Linked DNA regions of Oryctolagus cuniculus. The protein of the gene in region 2 purifies or fractionates together with the protein of the main gene of each other region. This does not show direct contact. Links are inferred from orthologs where the notes say so. Each region holds a gene or a part of one and is shown on either strand. Other genes may lie near its edges. The genes, in order: SLC6A8, OCIAD1 and MTCH2.

Region 1 (4,065 bases), on a different chromosome or scaffold from region 2:
AGCTGCTTCCAGGGTCCCCCCCCAGCCCCACCCCCTGTGAACACAGGTGACACCCCTGTCTCTCTTCCCATGAAACACACACCCCTAGGGGCTCCTCCTGGAAGCTTGGGTGGAGATGCTGCCCCTCCCTCACCTAGCAGGTTCAATCTGGCTCGCGCCGGAACTGCTTTTCTTCCTAAAGCTGGCCGGATGGCTGCGGGCTTAGCTTAACGGGATGAACCATCTGGGGAGTGCCGTGTGTGTAATTAGATCAGGGAGTGTGGGACCAAGGGGGGCACGCTTTACCCGCCCCCCTCCAGCCAGGACCATGACCATGACCCCTTCCAGCCACCTTGCTCTGACGAGGGACGCCTGGAGGGCCGTCCCCGGGGAGAGGAGCGCCAGGAGAGGGGAGCTGGCTTGCAGACCTTCCGAGGAGGGTCTGTGCACCTGCCAGGCACCAGGGGGCAGCCTTACCCTATTCCAGCAAGTCAGCCGCCCCTGCTGGACCCCTTACTAAGCCAAGGGAGCTAAAGAGGCTCCCTTTCTGTACCTGTCTAGCCTCCCTCCTCAGCAAGGCAGGATCCCCTTGACCGTGACCTCCTGCGTTTCAAGGCTGTACCTCTTGGGAAGGGCGGAGTGCCAGGGGGGCGGGAGGGTTGCGCCTGTGCAAAGCCCCACAGCACAGCTGGAGGTAGATACGCGGCAACCTTTGCTCCCCTCACTAGAAACAGACCCAGCCCTGCAAGGAGGCCGGGAAGCCTGCTGCCTTTGGTACCCAGCACCCGCCCAGCCTGGAGATGGGACAGGCTGGACAGATCTGGGTGGCTCCAGCCTGGAGGGAGAGGGGAGAAGAGAAGAGGGAGGGCACAGGATGGCTGGAAGGAGGCCAGGGAAGACGCTTTCTTTAAGCTGGGAAGGGCAGGTCGAGGGAAGGCAGATCTGGAGTCAGCGAGGCCAGGTGAAGCCGGGGCGAGGTCCTGGCCCCTTGGGGAGGAAGTGCTGGCCGGCGCCCCAGGTAGCAGCCATCCTGCTCCCCGCTGGAGCGGCGTCTCCTCCTCGGGAGGAGGGCGGGAGGAGGTGGGCGGAGTGACGGGGAGGGCGGGAGGGAGGGATGGGAGAGGGGGAGGGGGAGCAGCCCGGTCGTGGGGGTGGGGCGACAGTGACATCACCCCGGAGTCGGTTCTTAAGCAGCGGCCGATGCGGCCGGGGAAGAGAGGGACAGTCGGAGTGCGGTGGCGAGTCGCTGAGCCCGCCGCGGCCCCGAGAGCGGCTGGAGCCGCCGCCGCGGGGAAGGAGGGGGCGAGGCGCGCCCGGGCCGCCGTCGCCGCCGCCGCCGCCGCCGCCGCCGCCGAAGCCGCGGGCGAACAGGGGAGCCGCCGAGGGCTCGGGCCGAGGCTGGGGGCGCGGGCTGCAGGACCCTGCTCCGGTAGCCACTTGCAGACAGTGGGCGCCTGATGCCGCCCGCGCTCCGCTAGGCTGAGCCTCGGGCCGGGCGAGCCGCCGCCGCCGCCGCCGCCGCCACCGCCCGAGCCGCGGGCAGAAGCCTCGGGAGCCGCCGCCGTTCGGCCGGGCCCCGCCGCCGCCCGCGCGCCCCCGGGCCCCCGACACACATGAGATTCTTCAGGCTCACTTTCAAGTGCTTCGTGGACTGCTTCTGATTGCGCAGCCCCCGCCGTCCCGCACCCCGTCCGCCCGCCCGCCCGCTCGCCACCCCGTCCCCCCCGGCCCGGCCGCCCCCGAGGCCCCCGGGCGGGCCCGCGCCTTCGGGGCCCTCCCCCCCACCCCCGGGTGCCTCCGGCGCCCCCTGCCCGCCCGCCCCCGCGAGGCGCCGCGACCCCCGGCCCAGCCGTGCGGCCCGCCGGGGCCATGGCGAAGAAGAGCGCCGAGAACGGCATCTACAGCGTGTCCGGCGACGAGAAGAAGGGCCCCCTCATCGCGCCCGGGCCCGACGGGGCCCCGGCCAAGGGCGATGGCCCCGCAGGCCTGGGGGCGCCCGGCGGCTGCCTGGCCGTGCCGCCGCGCGAGACCTGGACGCGCCAGATGGACTTCATCATGTCGTGCGTGGGCTTCGCCGTGGGCTTGGGCAACGTGTGGCGCTTCCCCTACCTGTGCTACAAGAACGGCGGAGGTGAGCGCCCCCGCCCCTGTCGCGGCCCCGATCTTCGCCAGGGGTTCCCTCCCCCTGCCTGCCTGCCTGCCTGCCTGCCTACCTCTGGCCCACCAGAGCAGAGGGGCGAAGTCCAAAAGCTGGGGAGGTCCCGCAGGGTGCGTGGGGACTGAGGCCCGGGGCCCGCCCCTCGCCGGCCTGGGCCACTTGGTGGCCCAGTCCGGCGGCCTCCACCCCCCTCACCAGTCATGTGCCTGGCAGTGGGGGGGGGGGCGGGGCGAAGATGAACCTCCTGCAGAACCGAGGGGCTGCCCCGAGACTCCTGGCCCAAGCCTGGAGTGAGTAGCCACCGAGATGGGAAAAGAAGGCCAGAGCGACCTTCTGGGGAGGGGGCTCCAAGAGGTGAGGAGCCCTGGCTGGCACCCCCGCACCAGGCACAGCACACAAGTGGTACATAGGCGCACGCACACACATACACACACAATGGGCCACTGTCCCTCCCCCACGCCCTGCCCTCCCCTCCCCTCCCTCTCCCTCCTCTCCTCTCCCCTCCCTTCCCTACTTTCCCTCCCCTCCCTTCTGGCCTGGGCCTGGAACACTGGGTGCCTGCGCCAGGCTTGGGAAGCCTGCAGCCTGGCCCGCCTGGCGCCGCCACTGGACACACTGCGTGCACGCCCCATGCCCGCCAAAGCCCAGCTTAGCAACAGTGATGGGCACGCGTGTGTCCTGTGACTGCAAAGCGGCACTGCTGCTGGGAAGCCCAAGTGACCAGGCGATGGGTGGGAAACTGAGGAGCCACTGGAAAGCCTTGGCCCAAGGTCACGCACAAGAAGGATGCTGGGCCCAGAAGCTGGGCAAGCAATGGAGAGAGCTGGGCCAGGGGCAAGAGTGCAGGCGGCGAGCGCAGTAGACAGGAGCTGCTGGTGCCTGGTTCTCCCCTCCCTTCCCCCACCCCCCTACCCCGGCTCCGGCCTGTTGGCCAAAGCCTGTCTCTAGCCTGGTCCACTAGAGCTTGCTATGCCTGGCTTGGTCCCTTCCTCCCACCTGTCTCCCCGTGTCCTTGCAGTGACACCCCCCCCCCCCCGCCGTGCAGAGGACTGCCAGCTGCCCCCCTCTTCCTTGTACCCTCACAAGTCAGACTCGCTGCCTTTAGACCAGGCCCGCACCCTAGATCACTCAGCCTCGGTGCGCGGGCACACACACCATGCGCAGCCCTGGCCATTCCTCGCTGGCGCACAGACGTGCGCGTCAGTGCATGCGTCCTCAGGGCTCTTGGGGTCATCCCAGGTGATGGTGGTGGGAGCCCAGAGGGCCTAGGACCCTCCCCACACACCGCCCAGGGAACATGGCTCTAATGGCCTGGGGGCTACCATGGCCCCTCCTGTCCAGAGGCCCAGAACCCACCCCCCAAGACTCTTCACCTTGGTCCTCTGAGTCAGCAGCCACCCCCTGCACTGATTCACCCAGTGCTGGGGCTCAGGGCTTCCGGAGCCTGGGCAGCCTGGCTGGGGACAGGAGATGCTTCCGGTCCTGTCCTGGTGAAGGGGCCACCTGCCCAAGCGGTCTTCAGGGGGCACTGCGGGAGGTGAAGCTGCCCCACGTGTCCTCCCCCAGGTGTGTTCCTGATCCCGTACGTCCTGATCGCCCTGGTGGGAGGAATCCCCATTTTCTTCTTGGAGATTTCCCTAGGCCAGTTCATGAAGGCTGGCAGCATCAACGTCTGGAACATCTGCCCCCTGTTCAAAGGTGAGCAGCCCTTCAGGGACCCTCCTTTCCCACATGCAGGGAGCTCGCTGCAGCTGGCTCCCAGTCTGCCTGCCCTGAGCCCCGGTCTGGGGGGAGACATGCAGGCCACACTGACCTTGGGAAACATCGGCCGTGACCTCGAGGGCATAGCCAGGCTGGGAACAGGACCCACGCAACATTCCTGACTCCCTATACTGTCCCCACCTGGGGCACACAGGTGCCACCACTGG
Region 2 (4,046 bases):
TGTCGCTCCCCCTCTTCGTGGAGGAACGACACAGGACCCTGCGCTGTTCTTTCGTCTGCTCGGCCCTCCCCGGGTTTGCTGCTGGTTCTTCCCGGGTTGGCTACTATCCCTTCCACCTCCGTGGAAGGGCAGTTCCTCCTGGCCACATTCCCCACTTCCGCAGGGGAGCGGCACACCGCCGGCCGGCTTTCTCGGGGGCTGCACGGGTTCCCTTAGATGTTCCCCATAGATGTTCCTGGTGCATGCCGTCTCTCTCCTCCTTTATAGTCCTCCTCCGCCAATCCCAACTCGGCTGCCCACACGCCGAGTACGCTGCTCTCCTCCAATCAGGAGCAAGTCCTACAGTTTATCAGTTGAACTGGAGGCAGCTGTGCGGAAGCTGTTTACTTCTCTCCCAACGCCACATTGTGGGAGAGCAGATGCATAGAATAAGTCCCAATTCGAGTAACTTAGTCAAGTCCGGATTGCTCCCCACAACTCCGCCTTCCAAATAAATAAATCTTAAAAAAAAAAAAAGACAAAGTAAGGATAGAGGCAAAGGGGCTCACAAAGAGATGACATCTGAGAGGTTTTAGGAGCTGATGAAATTTGAAGACTGGGATTGCTCTCTGTCGAGTCACCAACATCTTTCAGCACCAATAAGTACTCAGTAAGTACTTGCGGAGGGAATGAATGAACGAAAAGGAACGAATGGTTGCTGGGTGTGGCAGCATGGTGTCTGCCAGACAAATCCAAGTCCTGCTCTCAAATATATGCTCGCTAACACAGCGAGCACCTGCGCCTCATTTTAGATGTGTTTTAATCCTAACAACCCTATGAAATGGCTATTATTTCCATTTTTTATTAGAAATTAGCAAAAAAAAAAATCCTAAGAAGCAATATGTTGGAAGGTTCTAGACCTGGTCAGACACTAGACTCCAGAAGGTCTCCCAGCTAAACTACCGCGCATGCTTAAAAGTTGAGTCGTACGATAGAGCCTAGAGGCTAAGCCTCAAAACATTGAAAAACAAGAAAAGCTGGGAACTTGCAACAAGCGGACGAAGGTGCAGGGTTCCAGTCAGGCTGTGTCACAGGAAGATGAGCGAGGTGCGTCACAACAGCCTCAGCCTCGCTTCCACTCGCCTTCAGGGAGGGGGCGGGGCGGCCTCCTGGCCGGCGGCGGTAGCCGCGCAGCCGCAGTGCAGCTCGTCAGCGCCGCGGCTGGCGTGTGAAGCGAGGACGGACGGGCAGCGGAGGGCGGGGCAGGCAGACGCAGGCGCAGATGGCCACCCGGGCGCCACGCGCCTGTAGATGCTGCAGGGAGGCCTTGACGTGATTTCCTGCCGTGGGCCACTAGTGTTTCCGGGTCGCGGTCATTTTTGAGCCCTTGTCTTGGGGATTCGTGGGCGGCTGCGTCGCTGCCCACCCCTACCCCCGCAGCTCTCCTACTCGCTTTTCGCCCTCCCTACCCCTTTTTGGGTCCTCATCTGCCCCGGTCGCCCGGGCTCGCCTCGCAGTCGCCTGCCGCTGTCGTCGGGAGGTGGGTGAGGTGACGCAGAAAGTGCCATTTGCCCCCCTTCGTCTATGCTCTCCACCTTAGCGCGGCTATCCACTCGTTTGCACCTTCCGCCATTTTCCTCCTGCGGGGTGGACCGATCGCGCTTTGGGTCTCGGGCCTCTGAGTGCTGGTGCCTGGGCGAGCGAGGGGTTGTCCTTGGTGGGGTGTGGGGGAGAGAAGGTGGTGGTGACGTATGTGCGGGGGTGTTGTTCGGGAATGGCTGGTGGGACAGGGGTATAGTGTGGGTGGAGGATGGAGTACGGCGGGAGGCTGGCGAGCGTTCAATTCAGGTTTTTTGTTTATGGAATTAAGAGATTAAAGTGGTACTGTTTTAAGGGGCCTTGTCGGCCTTGACAATGTCCTTTTAGGGTTTCTAGAAGATACCGTTGTGGGAAGTGAGAAGGTTGCATTATTTCCTAGGAGGTTAAGGTGTAAGTAGTTTGTTCAACAGGCTCCAGCCATGCACGAATTCATCCTGTTTTTATTTCTATTCTCTGTCTAAGGGGTTGTATAGTAGGCCCTCAGTGATGGTTTATGAAAAGGTCCAATTGCCAGACTTCTTCGTGTATGCCATTTCCTGTTTTTATGCAAATTGCCTTTAAAGTGAGAATAATCCGAAGCTTATGTTAGTTAACATTATATACACTAGTTACCTGGTCTGTTGGTCTGTTAAGCGCTGAGGGATGGGTTAAGAAAAACAGTAAGAATTGAGAAATAAAAATGTGTATTTTTGTAATGTACATTTCTTTCTCATATTCTATGTCATTTGAAGATTATCTGGGTGAGGGAGGAAAGTTTGAGGAATTTGCTGTTATCAGCAAAGGAGAAGGTTATGACGTCTTTGTTATTCCGTTTTTTTTTTGAGTACTGCTTTGCGTGTGTCCAGATTGATGATTTCATTTTTTAAAATTGAAACCCAGGAATGATTTGAGGTTTTTAAGTCTTCTACTTTGGAGAACTATTTTAATCATTGTGTATCGACTTCTGAAAGGTTAAAAAGCTTCAGTAAGGGAAAATTTTTCAGTTGTTGAGGTGGTGTTTTGTATCATTATATTAAGCAGATGACAGATACTTAAAAAAGGCGAAAGATTTATTCATTCTGAAGAGAAACCAAAATAGATGACAAATACTTATAAAGCACCTCTTTTCAATTCAGGAACCTAACATTAATAATTAGTCCCAAATTTTTAGTAAGAATGTAACTTTTTCATGTAGCTGTTTTATTATATCAAGTTACTGTACTTAATGTTTGGTGTTTAGTAAATATTTGTTGGTTGCTTCTAATTTGTTGATAGTTTCTAATGCTTAATATAAATGTTTTTGATACAGGGAAGATGAACGGGAGGGCTGATTTTCGAGAGCCGAATGCAGAAGTTCCAAGACCAATTCCCCGTAACTATCTATTAAGTATTTATAAATAGAAGCACTTTCTATGTAAAGAAAATGCCACTTGAATAACAGTAGCAGCTGTGCTGGTCTTCATAGGTGTTTGATCTGTGCATTCACACAGGACCCCACACTTGGTTTAATGTTCTACAGTTGCCATCTGATACTTTTTTTTTTTTTTAAGATTTATTTATTTATTTATTTGAGAGGTAAAGTTACAAACAGAGAGAGGGAGAGACAGAGAGAAAGGTCTTCCATCTGCTGGTTCGCTCCCCAAGTGGCTGCAATGGCTGAAGCTGTGCCAATCTGGCACCAGGAGCTTCCCCCAGCTCTCCTGCAAGGGTTCGGGGCCAACTTCTGTTGCTTTCCCAGGCCATGGCAGAAAGTTGGATCTAAAGAGGAGCAGCCAGGACATGAACTGGCGCCACCATCTTCATATTCTTAGTAATCTGAGCAAGGGGTCTCACCTTTCCATTTTGTACTGAGTCTAGCATATTTTCTTCTTTTTCTTTCTTTCTTTTTTTTTTTTTTTTTTTTTTTTTTTTGAAACAGTTACACAGAGAGAGGAGAGGCAGAGAGAGACACAGAGAGGTCTTCCATCTGATGGTTCACTCTCCAATTGGCCGCAACGGCCGGAACTGCGCTGATTAGGAGCCAGGAGCTTCTTCTGGGTCTCCCACTCGGGTGCAGGGGCCCAGGGATCCGGGCCTTCTTATGCTGCTTTCCCAGGACACAGCAGAGAGCTGGATTGGAAGTGGAGCAGCCAGGTCTTGAATCGGCACCCATATGGGCTGCAGGTGCTGCAGGCCAGGGCGTTAACCCGCTGTGCCACAGTGCCTGGTGCTAGCAAATTTTCTAGTAAGAGTTTTCTAGCCCAGAGTAGGATTAAATTCTGTTTGAAGTCCAATTTTGTGAAAAGTTTTCAAGCAACTGTTTCACTACTTCATTAAGAAAAAATACTGGTGTATTTTGTTAATATTTAGATAAAACTGAGTTGTTTTATGGGTATTTAAATATTTTCCAATTTGCTTTGGTAAAAGACATAGGGGCTGATTACATTCCAACAGAAGAAGAAAGAAGAGTCTTCGCAGAATGCAATGATGAAAGCTTCTGGTTCAGATGT
Region 3 (3,591 bases), on a different chromosome or scaffold from region 2:
GGAAAGTCCTGGAGGATGACGGTGTCTGGGAGCCCACCCCATTCAGGCTGTTCTGACTGCGGGGAGGAGGGCTCAGTGTCTCCCACTACAGTATCCACTCATGTTCCCCTCGCAGGAATTTGAGTGTCATTAGATTTCAGAAGTGTGTGTTGATTGTTTCTAGACAACTCGAGAGATGATCGCTCGATCTGCTGCTACCCTCATCACACATCCCTTCCACGGTATGTTCGCGCTTGATCACTGGAACCTGATTTCCTGTCTTTGTGCAACTGGATCTCTCTTAACTGCTTAGATAGGTTGACATGGTAGTTAAGTGAAGTGCCTTCCTTGCCTGCCTGTTATTGTTTACTTGCTTGTTTTGGCTTATACCCAGTTTTTCCAGAGAGTGAAGTGTCTTTAGATGGAAAGCCATTTTTTTTCCAGGGCTATCAAAATGTATCTCCGCTTAATTTTAAAAGTCTCTTCTCTGTGTTCTGCAGTGATCACACTGAGATCTATGGTACAATTCATTGGCAGAGAATCCAAGTACTGGTAAGTGTTTTTGTTTACAAGTGTTCTAGAAGCTTTGTTAACCAAAATGTATACTACCTTGCGTTGTTATGATTCCTTAGAGTTTGACCTGCACATAAACAAGTAAAATATGGGAAAAATAACCTCAGGCAGGGTTTGGAGCCCACCCCAGGTCTCAGGAATAAGTTGGCGAGTCTGATACCAGCTATGCCCTTAGGTAGTTCGGTCCTTCTTCCATCTCCAGATTGATCTGTCTGCAGAGTGAGTGGGCACTAGAAAGTGGACGGGGCGGGGTGGTAAATTTGACCTTGTCAAAAGTGGTAATTATATTTTTTATAGCTCCAAAATAATCTTAATGTGTTTACCTTTCTTTCCTGCGTGCCCAGTGGACTTTATGACTCCATAGTAACCATCTATCGGGAAGAAGGCATCCTGGGATTTTTTGCGTGAGTTGCTGTTGACGTGTGAGTGTGTGATTTGTTGGTGAGCCAGAAGCTTTCTGAAAATATGGACAGTGAATCTTGGTTTAATCCCTGGAGAAAGTGGCCTTCCTGGGTTCACTTCATTTTAAGCTGTATTTAGGTCCCTCTGACTTAAATTCTCTTGTTGTAAAGATCCCAGACTTTTTCTCCTAGATATTTAAGATTTTGAAATGAGGATTTTTAATAAGTTAATGACAAGGTTCTACCCTTTAAAGTAGTTTTCCAGTCATATGTAGTTTATCAAATAAGGAAAATTAAGTTTTGAAAAATGGAGAAATCCTCTTAACATGTATTTTTCTTATTCTAAGAAAATAAGTTTTGCAAGGCTTGAATTTACTTTGGCAAAACTTAGACTATACTCCTTTTTCTGTTAAGAAAAACTCTGCATTATTAGCCAGTTTTCAGAATATTTGCACACACTTTGAGTATCACAAATGCTTTGGGAGGTCGGCAGCACAGCTACCCTAGTCATATCATAGAAATTAAAAGAACTCTATGCCCAGGCCCATTTGTTTGCTACCTGTCACATGGCTGGTAGGTGACAGAGGACATTAGAACCGTGGTCTTTTGTCTGTGGGTCATGTTCTTCCCACTGTTCTAGGCTGTCTCACCTAGTCTCTTGGACCCTGGAAACATTTTTTTTTGATGTCTCTCATTTGTTATCTTTGGATTGTTCTCTCTTTGTAATTTGAATGTCAAATGGTGGGGTAAAACCATATTTAAGTTTCTTCTCCAAAGTGCCTTGTAAATATTTGGCCTCCCTGCTTAGAGTCACTAATATGAAGGTGAGCCAGTGGCCTCAGTTCAGAGAGCTACAGCTGACCTGTGTTTTAAAAATGGGAACGGAAGTCATTAGAGACCAGCCTCAAGGACACCTAGAAATAAGGGTGGAGTCTGGTGTTTAATGCCTTTTCAGCTGCCTAGAGTTTTGAAATTTCTTAATTCTTTGAGAGTTGGCATTGAGTGCATACCTTTTTACTGATCATATTTCGGGGTTCTTATTTTTCTTCATGTAGGGGTCTTATTCCTCGCCTCCTGGGTGACATAATTTCTTTGTGGCTCTGTAACTCGCTGGCGTACCTTGTCAATACCTATGCACTGGACAGTGGGGTAGGTTGTGACCTGGGTGAGATGTTCTGGTGTGGGCTGTTCTGTATTCACTTGGCTGCACAGTTAGCTTTAAAGGAATAATGTACACAGTTTACTGTAGAGAGGTGGACCTAGAGTTCTAGTCCTGCCCCTGTGCCTGTGCAGGATTCACGGAGACCATTTCAAAGGCAGAACTGCAGAAAGAGAAGAGACAGCAAAGATCTTCCCTCCACGATTCATTCCCCAAATGTCCACAGAACAGCTAGGGCAAGGCCAGTGCAAGCTGGGAGCCTGGAACTCGGGCCGTCATCCACTGCTTTCCCAAGTGCCTTAGCAAGGAGCTGGATCAGGAGTCGAGCAATTGGCACTCCAGTGTGGGATGCTGGTGTTACAGAGAGCGGCTTAACCTGCTATGCCATAGTGCTGGCCCCTTTTTCTTCTTTTCTTGTTTTGTTTTCTTTTTGTTCTTGTTGAGATTACTACGTTTTGTTTGTTTGGGTTTTTTTGTTTTTTTGGCCTCATCTGAAGTATTAGCTTTTGAATTGAGCTTTCCAGAAGCCTCAGCCTGCGAGGTGTTGAGAATCAGCATTTCCTGGCCATTGTCTCCCTGTCCTAGCAGTTACAGGGACTCTGTCTACAGGCAGCACCCTGGCTTGGTGGAACACAAAGCACACCAAGGGGCACCTGCACACACATAACTGGTGTCACTTCTCGAGCGGAGAGGGCTTCTCCAGGTGGCCCTCGCTTGTCTGTGGTCTTCCTTTCTGTGGCCTCACTGTCAGCTTGTATCCAAGAGAAAATTCCCATTCCGAGAGACCACATTCATGTAACTTTTATTACAGTATGTTTTTGTAATTGTTCTATTTTATTATTGTCCTCAGTCTTATACTGTGCCTAATTTAACTTTATCATAAGTATGTTTGTACTGCTATAGGAAAAAACAGTATATGAGGGTACTTTAGAAACTTAGTGGGACATATAATTAAAAGATGGATTTATTTGGGTTTACCGGCTTTTGAAATCCATGCCTAGTTTTTTCATAATACACATTTTCCATGAACTTTTTTGTTTTAATAAAGTACTTTTTAAATTAAGATTTATTTATTTGAAAGAGTTACAGAGAAAGAGGGAGAGACAGAGGTCTTGCATCCACCGGTTCAGTCCCCAGGTGGCTGCAATGGCCAGGACTGGGCTTGGCAGAAGCCAGGAACCAGGACTTTTTTTCAGGTCTCCCACATGGGTTCAGGGACCCAAGGACTTGGGCCATCCTCCACTGGTTTCCCAGGCACATTAGCAGGGAGCTGGATTGGAAGTGGAGCAGCCAGGACTCAAACTGATGCCCATATGGGATGCCAGCAATGCAGGCAATAGCCTAACCTGCTATGCCACAACCGTGGCCCTTTTCCTAAACTTTCTTATTATAATATGAATTTATCTGTTAATGGAAATCAACTTGATCATTTTCACCACTGCTTTTTTTTTTTTAAGATTTATTTGAGAGGCAGAGAGA

Evidence for each region.
Region 1: the proteins of OCIAD1 (region 2) and SLC6A8 purify together in Homo sapiens (co-immunoprecipitation; 3 studies listed by BioGRID and IntAct, with this or other methods). This does not show direct contact. The link is inferred for Oryctolagus cuniculus from reciprocal best matches to the Homo sapiens genes OCIAD1 and SLC6A8.
Region 3: the proteins of OCIAD1 (region 2) and MTCH2 purify together in Homo sapiens (affinity purification with mass spectrometry; 3 studies listed by BioGRID and IntAct, with this or other methods). This does not show direct contact. The link is inferred for Oryctolagus cuniculus from reciprocal best matches to the Homo sapiens genes OCIAD1 and MTCH2.

What each region holds. Positions count from the first base shown.
Region 1 is NC_091453.1:132,041,254-132,045,318, forward strand, and holds the start of SLC6A8 (sodium- and chloride-dependent creatine transporter 1), read left to right. Parts: upstream 1-1,188; 5' UTR 1,189-1,848; coding exon 1,849-2,110; intron 2,111-2,192; exon of another isoform or gene 2,193-2,236; intron 2,237-3,703; coding exon 3,704-3,835; intron 3,836-4,065. UniProt on the Homo sapiens protein: Creatine:sodium symporter which mediates the uptake of creatine. Plays an important role in supplying creatine to the brain via the blood-brain barrier.
Region 2 is NC_091433.1:41,993,057-41,997,102, forward strand, and holds the start of OCIAD1 (OCIA domain-containing protein 1), read left to right. Parts: upstream 1-1,239; 5' UTR 1,240-1,519; exon of another isoform or gene 1,520-1,728; intron 1,729-2,866; 5' UTR 2,867-2,871; coding exon 2,872-2,929; intron 2,930-3,963; coding exon 3,964-4,044; intron 4,045-4,046. UniProt on the Homo sapiens protein: Maintains stem cell potency. Increases STAT3 phosphorylation and controls ERK phosphorylation. May act as a scaffold, increasing STAT3 recruitment onto endosomes. Involved in integrin-mediated cancer cell adhesion and colony formation in ovarian cancer.
Region 3 is NC_091432.1:18,373,085-18,376,675, forward strand, and holds part of MTCH2 (mitochondrial carrier homolog 2), read left to right. Parts: intron 1-163; coding exon 164-221; intron 222-479; coding exon 480-531; intron 532-896; coding exon 897-956; intron 957-2,008; coding exon 2,009-2,102; intron 2,103-3,591. UniProt on the Homo sapiens protein: Protein insertase that mediates insertion of transmembrane proteins into the mitochondrial outer membrane. Catalyzes insertion of proteins with alpha-helical transmembrane regions, such as signal-anchored, tail-anchored and multi-pass membrane proteins.